2 linked regions of the Canis lupus familiaris genome follow. The protein of the gene in region 1 purifies or fractionates together with the protein of each later gene. This does not show direct contact. Links are inferred from orthologs where the notes say so. Each region holds a gene or a part of one and is shown on either strand. Other genes may lie near its edges.

Region 1 (4,687 bases):
TGGCCTCGCAAGACATCCTGAGCATCCCCTGTGAGGACCACTTCACGAAGTTCACGCTGTTGATGAAGGGGGGCACAGGCTCATGGGTCAGGGTCCAGGGTTCTTCCAGGGTTCCTGGAAGGCCAGTGTGGCTGGGTACTGACTGCAAATTGTGTGTTCTTCCAACCCCACTCCCTCAGGGGCTTTAGCAGCCCGCCTGCGTTCCAGGCATGAAGTCCCAGGAGAGGAGCCTCTCTTTGCTTCTGGGCGGAGGAACAAAGGCACACTGCCTGGTATAGGGTGTGTGTTTGTGTGTGGCTGTCGAGGTGGGTGTGGTGCAAGGAGAAAGTTACTGGCCCTTCCTCCAGGCTCAAGATTTGTGCCCCAGTTGGCACCCGGGTTCTAGCGGATTCTAGCTGGGATGCTCATGCCCTCCGCCTGCTGTCGGCTGGCAAGAAATGTGCACGGGGCAGATGGGGCGGATTCCCACTGTCCTGTGGGACCCACATCCTCCCTTGCAGGGGCTTTCCCCAGCCGCAAACCCTGGTTTGAGTCCGTGGTCCCCGGGCCCCACCTGCTGCGGCGCAGGGCTGTCTCCACGTTGTGCCCTCGCTGCTTGCGGTAGAAGTCGATGAAGGAGAAAGGCAGGGAGATGTTGAGCGCCCCTGCACGGTGCGGGCCTGCCGTGCGTTTGCGGGCCTCGAAGGCGATGGTCAGATCCACCCAGGCTGCCGGCCGTTGCCTTTTGAAGGTGGTGATGAAATCCTCGCCGAAGATGCGGCCCAGCAGCTGCTCAAAGGCCAGGTCCACGCCCACCGCGCCATAGGGGCCGCCTGGGGTCGGGCAGGGGAGAAAGGGGACGTCGGCGCAGACTCCGCCGCCAGAGGGCGGTGGCAGGGCCCGCGAGCCCTGGGTACCCAGCGTGCTGCCTGGCTGGCTACTTACTCACCGGATGCCTTGTAGAGTTCCTTGAGGGTGCCATGTGGCTGCTCCAGCTGGTGCACCGTCAGGTCCACCGTGCCTCCTCCGCAGTCTGCCACCACGTAGCGGTCTCCTGTGGCGGCGAGCGTGAGCACACACTCCTGGTCTGCTTTGCACCCTCAGCTCTGCTCCCCTTCCAGATTCACCCAGCCCCCAGCCCTGCCCCACACCAGAGACCCTTGCCTGCGGGGAGGATGGGAGTAGGAGTGGCTGTAAGGGGCTTCAGGTAGTTGAAACTTAGGCCACCGGGAAGGGGCGCAAGGGTTTTGGGGAAAATGTTTCCAGGACTCTATCAGCAGAGAATCCCCCGGAGAAGTGAGAGTTAGGGGTGAGGCTGAGTGACATGGAGGTGCAGGTGACCATGGGAAGACTACCAGGTTAGGTGCAGCTGATGGAGGAGTAGGGGCAGGGTTTCTAGGGTCTGGAACCCACTTCAAGAAGGTTCCCTTGCCCCTACGGTTCCCCTCAGGGCCCAAGAAACATCCCTCTGTCCCCCCACCTGCTTGCATCTCTGCCCACAGCTCTCCAACACCAGACTCCACCAGGAATGTACGGCTGTGGCGGGACTTGCGCAGCTGCTCGCGGGCTGGGGTTGGGGGGGAGGCAGGGAGGGACAGCAGGACAGTGGGGTTAGAGGGAGGTGCCTCAGCTACCAATCTTGACCCCCATCCTCCCACCAGTACCCTCCATGAGTATCTGGACCAGCCAGTTCTCCTGAAACTCCTGCTCTACTACTTCTAACTAGGAGAAGGCAATGTTGAACCTCAGAGGGTCCAGAAAAACCTGATGGGGTAACCAACAGCTGAGGGGAAGTTTTTCTGGCTACAGTACATTCCCTTAACGCTGGCAGGCTTGAGGCATGGCAAAATCAGAGTTGGGACAGTTTGGAGGACCTGTGCGTAGCTGGGGGAGGTGGGGAGAGGTTGGTCCTGGGTGATTCAGGGGAGCCTAGCGTTAGGGACCTCTCCTACTTACAGGAGATGGTATCTGGGAGAGTGACTAAGATTGACCATAGCAGTCTCAGGGCCCAGTCCAGGGACACTGGAGCTGGAGCTTGGTAGCAGGAGCTCAAGGCTATTGTGGGGGAAGGGGAATGACAGCTGATGTGCCAGGATGGGAGAGGCGGCTGATTCAGTGGCTATTTAAGACAAAACCCTTAGAGACCACCTTTGGCTCAGAATGGGAGCTGACGGGATCCCTGGGTGGTGCAGCGGTTTGGCGCCTGCCTTTGGCCCAGGGCGCGATCCTGGAGACCCGGGATCGAATCCCACATCGGGCTCCCGGTGCATGGAGCCTGCTTCTCCCTCTGCCTGTGTCTCTGCCTCTCTCTCTCTCTCTCTCTCTCTCTCTCTCTCTCTCTCTCTGTGTGACTATCATGAATAAATAAATTAAAAAAAAAATCTTAAAAAAAAAAAAAAAAAGAATGGGAGCTGACTTCCTCATTGTCAGTACCTGAGCACCTCCCCTCAGGACAGTTTGTTTCCCCCTACCCTCAGATTCAGGATGGGCGCTGAGTCCTACCCTCCTCAGACAATGATCCTCCAGGGCAACATGAAATCTCTGTCCTCAGATTGGGCTTCCCCAGGTCAGGGCTGTGCCTCCTCCCTCAGACTGAATTGCACCAGAGATGTTTCTGCCCTCTCAGATTGGGCTGGAGACGGGGGAGGAGGGGTTATCTCCTCTTTATGTTGGACATGGCCAAGCCTCTGGCCTCAGTGACCCTCCAACCCTCCAAGGGCAAATGTAATACCATTGGGTAGTGCCCCTGGGGGAAGCTCACCCTGCCGGAAGCTGGAATCGATGGAGCGACGCTCACCCAGGCGTCCACTGCCTGGAGCCCGGCTGCTTAGGTCCAAGAGCTGGTGTAGACGCAGCTTGCGGCAGTAGACAGAGGCAGCCTCTGGCTCCAGGGCGATGAGTAGTTGCTCTGCATCCTCCCTGGACACCAGGCCAGCCTGGGGAGAGGTGGTGGGCAGGGCCAGGGAGCTCTATGGGTCAAGTGTCACACCTAAGCTGGCACCTCTGGGCAGGCAACCAGGGCCTGTGGGGCTCCCACCACCTCTCCATCACACCCCACCCATGGTGGGCCTCTCGCCGCCCCCTCCCCCCAGTGCTGCACACATGTGGAACTGCCTCCCAGCCACCCTGTGACCAGGCTGGGGAGTGGCACCGCCACTGCCAGGAATGCCATGGGGTTACCCAGGAGGAAGAGACCCTAGACAGAGTGAGAAACCTAGAGCACCTGGGCTCTGTCCCTCCAAGCTGCCTAAGGTGGCCCAGGCTGCAGCAAGGTCCCCTTCACATGTGCAGGGCTGGCCAGCTGAGCACCAACTGAAGTGTTAGCCCAGACTCTAGCACAGTGTGTATGGGGGTGTAATGGCCAGACCCCCAATTAGAGGAGATGGTATGTGTGGGGGGTCCCCTTTGGCTCCCTGAACCTTTGTCCTTCATGTCCTTCACCAGGCTGGTTGGCAGAGAATACCCATAGGCCTCCTCACTCCCAGAAGAACTTGCTTCCCCAGAGAATCAGATACAGGCACCAAGAGACAACAGTAAAATTCCAGGTGCCAGGACAGGTCAGTTGGGGGGAGAAAAACACTCGGGATCTTCTGCTTCCTGTATCAGGACAGGGGATCCCTGTGGGAAGTACTCTACAGTTTTGTGGGATTCCCTGGATTCTGACTGGGTGGGGGTTGGGGATGGGTGGGTATCTAGACTTCCTGTCCAGGGTCAGCCCTTCCTGAACTGGCAGCCATGGAACAGTGTGGGAGGAACCAGGGTGGATAAACCGGCAGGGTGGGGGGCAGTGCTTATCCTGGCTGGGCACAGCCTTGCTTTCATCCTGGTCTCTGCAGTAGGGATGCCCACTACCTCAGGGTGAGCTCCTATAAGTGCAGGCACACACAGATCTGACACCTGGAGCATACCTGGCCCATGGTGGGTGGGGGTTGGGAGCTCTGATATCTTCCAGGGGGTGCACTGGCAGGCCTTTTGGAGGTCCTAGGATGTCCCCCAAGGACCAAACAATGGGTCTTGCTCTGGGAGGTTGTGCTTCCTTACTTCCTCACTCCATCTCACTGGAGGTAGGGGGACTTGACTTGTCCACCCTTCCCCCCATTCTCCAGACCTTTGGGCATCTCTTATGGTAGGAAGCCCAGCTTTGGTCCAAATCACTTTCCTTCATCGTCTCATAGTCCTGTGTCCCTTGCTCAAGAAATTACAGTGGTTGAGGCATGGTGGTGGAGTCCCTGACAATACTGGTGCTGGCTGAGGTGGAGGAAACCATCTCACTTGGAGAAGTTTCCCACACACCCCCCAGCAACCAAGACAGACTGATGGATATACAGAAAGCCAGGTGCCTTGCCTCACTGTGGTCAACTGCTGGGTACAGTTCTCCCTCTAGCACTCTCCATGGGACCTGGCTGAGGCTAGACTCCAGTTGAGACCACATTCCTGCTCGGGTCTTTATCCTGTCCATTTCCCTCATTCCTTTCTCCTGAGAGCCCTTCTTCAATATACCACGTGCACAAGAGTCCCTGTCTTGGGCTCTGCTTCTAGGGAACCTGACTTAAGACACCGGCTAAGCTGGCTTGGCTGTGCCTCTTGTCCCCCTGCTCTCTGTTCCTGCAGACTCACACCCTCTCCTGGGGGCAACAACCATCCAGTGTGCTCAGGAGGAGAAGGCCAGAGGTCTTTACACAATGACTGGTCCCAAGGGTGGTGGGTA
Region 2 (4,687 bases), on another chromosome or scaffold:
GCCTCACATAGGTACCCAGCAAGATCAGGGTACTGCTGCCTCCTGTCCTGGGACATGCACCATTTGTTGTGTTGACTGGTTAAAATAAGGATATTTATTTATTCAGCTGTTCATCCAACGTGCATTTTTTAAGCTTCCACACGTACCAGGCCCTGCAGTGAGGATGACACACAGGGGCCTGCCTTTGCGGCATTATAGTCCAGTGCAGGGGACCAGATGGGGAACAAGCCCACAAGTGCCGGAGGACATGTCGGAGAGGAAGGGGCAAGAGGCCAGTGTGTGCGGACCCGAGAGGGGAGGGAGACGTCCACAGACCCTTCATGTTTAGCCAGTGGGTGACAGGATCATGTTATAGATGCTGTGCCCTCAGGGTGGCTTCTCTCTCCAGGTACAATGCTGTCACTGGGGAATGGCTGGAAGATGAAGTTCTGATCAAGATGGCATCTCAGGTGAGCCATCCCCAGCCCAGTGAGCGCAGAGCTGAGTGGGCATTCTTCCTGAATAGACTTCTATTCCTGTTCCCTCCCCTTCACACTCACTTAATTGTTTTAACTAAAGGGCATTCTTTATATTATTGTGTATTTATTTTTTAAGATTTTATTTATTTATTTGAGAAAGAGACAGAGATAATGAGAGATAGTAAGAGACAGCAGGAATGGGGAGGAGAGGGAGAAGCAGCCTCCCCACAGAGCAGGGAGCCCAATGCAAGGCTCGATCCCAGGACCCTGGGACTATGACCTGAGCCGAAGACAGATGCTTTAACCACTAAGCCACCCAGGCACCCCTGTTTTATTTGTTATAATAATTTTATTGAGATATAATTCATGTACCATACAACATACCTATCTACACTGTATGGGTTCAGTGGTTTTTGGGTTTAGAGTTGTACAACCATCACCATGATCAATATAGAACATTTCACCGTTTCTAAAAGAAATGTCATCCTTACCCACCAGTAGCCAACTACCAATCCCCAGATCTCCCCCAGCCCTAGACAACCACTAATCTAACCCGTCTCTGTAGGTTTACCTATTCTGGACATTTTATGTATTTATCATACATCAGAAGTTGAACATACCTTGGCACTCTTGTCAAAAATCCATTGACGTAGGCATCCGGTAGTTCACTTGGTTAAGCATCTGCCTTCGGCTTAGGTCATGATGCCATATCCACCTCCATGCTTAGCGGAGAGTCTGCTTTTCCCTTTCCCTCTGCTGCTCCCTCTGCTCCTGCTCGCTGTCTCTCTCTCTCTCTCTCAAAATAAATAAAATCTTTAAAAATATACCAGTTGGCTATAAATGCATATATCAGTTTTCAAAAATTGCGGTCATCACTTAAACCTGAGTCATAAAAGGATTCAGTGGCTTGTAGCCATCCTTTTGGAAAAAAAAAAAAAAAAAGAAAGAAAGAAATAGACTAGAAAATGGAGCACCTCCTGCATTGTCAGAGGCGGATGGTTTTGCAAAACTTTTTTCTCATGTATCATACACTCCAAAAAGGGTGCGGCTTGATGAACTTCATAAAGTGAACACTCTGTGTAACCAGTGGCCCCCAAAAGTCCCCCTCCACTATGGTCACTACTCCCTTACCCCTGGGGGAAGCACCAACCCGGAATCTATTGCCCTGGATTAGTTTTGCCTATTTGTGTACTTCCTATAAATGGAGCCATGCCGTATGTATACTTTTGAGTATGGCTGCTTCTCCTCAGCATTTCGTCTGTCACATTCATACTTGTTTTTGCTAGCCCTATAGTTGATAGAATAATAAAGAATAATAGAAGAGAACAACAGAATATATTCATTCTCGTTGGTGTGTAGTATTCCATCAAGTGAGTAGACCTAATTGATTTATCCATTATACTGTTGGAGGACATTCAAGTTGTTTCTACTTTTTCTTTTTCTTTTTTTTTTTTTTTAAGATTTTATTTATTTATTGGAGAGAGAGAGAGAACCAGGGGAGGGGCAGAGGGAGAGGGACAAGCAGACTCTGCACTGAGCCTGGAGCTGGACATGGGGCTCGATTCCACAACCCTGACACCATGACCTGAGCTAAAATCAAGAGTTGGATGCTTAACTGACTGAGCCACCCAGGTGCCCCTATGCTGTTTTTCTGTTATAGAAAACAGAAAAGCAGAGCTTTTCTGACATTCTTTGACATTCACTGTTACCCCTATAACACCTTCACCCCCTGAGGCCTCTTCCCCTCAGCCACGGTGCAGGGAGGGTGGTCTTGTCATCCCTGAAGCCTCCAGGCTAGAAGTTTGCTCAGGCTTTAGAGCTGAGGTGAAGGAGGGAGGGCCCAGGAATTTTAGGATTGAGATGAGGTCCAGGCACCGATTTGGTGGGTGATGTCCAAGTAGGGGAGTCTTCCTACCTCAGGACTGCTTCTGGGTAGGACATGGAGACTGATAATCGTCTGTGTGGTGTCTTTCAGCCCTTCGGCCGTGGAGCAATGAGGGAGTGCTTCAGGACGTAAGTGACTCAGCCTGGCTCTCAGGGCCCTGCCCAGACTCTCTCAGGCTCCCAAGAGTAGGGGCATTGCAACATTTCTGGCTAAGAAGCTGAGACAGCAGCCTCTACTTTTTGTAGGCCAAGCTTCTATCTGGTCTCCTTTGGACCACACATTTGCCCTGGCTGTGGGGATGGGCTCGGGGAGAACATGGGAGTATCCCATTGACCTCTGCTCTGGTGTTTGGAGGCCAAAAGATGTGGGAAAAGAGACCTTTAGCTATGTCCCTTAAGCCTCTTCCCAGCTCTTTGAAGGATACAGTGGGTCAGGCTGGGTCCCTGATGAACCCAAGTGCCCAGGCTGCTGAAGATCCTCTGCTGCTTCCCCCAAACCCCAGAAAGAAGCTCTCCAACTTTCTGCACACTCAGCAGTGGAAAGGAGCCTCCAACTACGTGGCAAAGCGGTACATTGAGTCTGTGGACAGGGATGTGTACTTTGAGGATGTGCGTCTACAGATGGAGGCCAAGCTCTGGGGAGAGGAGTATAATCGACACAAGCCCCCCAAGCAGGTGCGTGGTGCCCCTTCCTGCCACCTTCCCACACAGGGCCAGGGACTGGAGACAAGGGCAACAGTGGTTCCAGTCACAGTTTCCCTTCACGGTCTTAATAATACCTAGTAACAACCATCCTCTATTGAGCATGATGGGCCAAACACACTCTGTGCAAAGAGTCCTTTCTTCCTAAAAACAGAGCTCTGAGGCTGTTTGAGGTTAGGATGTTTTTATACCATTTACAGATGAGATCTGTTAGGATTTTTGTTTGCAGATGTTAAAAACCCACTCAAGTGGGCTCAATACTAAAAAGGAATTTATTGCCTCATGTAACTGATACATAGGGCTGGCCACAGGTATGGACAGATCCAGGACCCAACAGGATGTTGAGAATCTTCCCCCATCTCTAGCTGAGGTGTTCCTCTGTGTGGCATCACTCAGGCAGTTTCTCCACTTGTAGTGGTGTGTCGACCACTGGCACCTGCAGGCTCACTTTCTGTCTTCTCAGAAACCTTGGTGGCATGACAATACCTGTTTTCCCAGAAGTTCCAATGAAAGTCTCAGAACTGGGTTTCATTGGCTCTGACTACGTCAGGTGCCTGTTGCTGAGCCAATCACAATAGCCAGGGGAGGGAATATGCAGATTGGGTAGGCCTGAGCCATGTGCTCACCCTTAGAGGCAGCAGTGTGGGTCCTTCCCCCAGACTATGTAGCCTGAAATTGGTGGCTCCCAAGAAAAAGCAGAAGGAGGGAAGGATGGATAGCATGTCTGCCCTCTGGGAGCCCCAGGTTCAAAGGGGTTAAGTGACCTGCCTGTTTGGGAGCCAGGGTTCAAATCCAGGCATTCCAGGCCCCTGCCCAGTTGGCTCCTTCACTTGAGTCCCCAGGTTGTTTAGTGACCCTGGGGCAAGCAGAATTTCCTGTTGCTTGTAGGCATTTGAGAAACAGCACTCCTTGTCTCTGCCCTGGCCAAATTCATAGCTTAGCTCTCCCATTGTTTGAATACCTACTAGATAATAGGACACTGTCTCCTGGGCACCTCAGGAGAGCCACACTTCCAAGAATCCAGCAGAATTTATTGAGTACCTGCTGTTTGCACGGCTTTTGGTTAGGTACACTTGGGGTAGACACAAGAACCCACAGTCCCCACCCATGGGGTCTGTGACCTCCTCAGTAATTTGCTACATGCCGTTGGGCCTCCTATCTCTTCCTCCCTCAGCTTGTTCCTGCCTCAGGACCTTTGCCCTGGCTGTGCCCCTGGCCTGTATCATTGTCATTGCCTCTCTCCACCGCCCCAACCTTGCATGATTTGCTCCTTCTCATAGTTCAGGTCTCAGCTCATATGTCACCTTCTCAGCAAGGCCACCCCAGGCCATCCTAAATGGAGTAGCCCTTCTACTACTGTCCTCTGTCACGGCTGTCTGTCTATTCTAGTTTCTTTTGTTTCAAGCAGTTAGTGCTGTCCAAAGGAGACTTGTTCCTGTAGTTAATATTTTGGTTGCCTCTCTCCCCCAGGGGCAGGGATTTTATCTGTCTTGTTCACTCTATCACAGTGCCTAGGTGCTCAGTAAATAATGTGATTGGCTGAATTGAGGAAGGGAAAGGAATGTAGTTGTCCGAGGGGGAACCGGCCATCCCTCCATGGCTGCACACCTCCAGCTACCCCTCCCCCAGTGAGCCCACTGGCC

Evidence for each region. Proteins that work in one complex are often made in the same cells at the same time.
Region 2: the proteins of HSPA12B (region 1) and EEF2K purify together in Homo sapiens (affinity purification with mass spectrometry; 3 studies listed by BioGRID and IntAct, with this or other methods). This does not show direct contact. The link is inferred for Canis lupus familiaris from reciprocal best matches to the Homo sapiens genes HSPA12B and EEF2K.

The regions. Positions count from the first base shown.
Region 1 is NC_049245.1:18,055,062-18,059,748, forward strand, and holds part of HSPA12B (heat shock 70 kDa protein 12B), read right to left. Parts: intron 2,916-4,687; coding exon 2,741-2,915; intron 1,547-2,740; coding exon 1,460-1,546; intron 1,034-1,459; coding exon 929-1,033; intron 813-928; coding exon 554-812; intron 57-553; coding exon 1-56.
Region 2 is NC_049227.1:23,623,775-23,628,461, reverse strand, and holds part of EEF2K (eukaryotic elongation factor 2 kinase), read left to right. Parts: intron 1-388; coding exon 389-449; intron 450-2,433; coding exon 2,434-2,471; intron 2,472-2,845; coding exon 2,846-3,017; intron 3,018-4,687. UniProt on the Homo sapiens protein: Threonine kinase that regulates protein synthesis by controlling the rate of peptide chain elongation.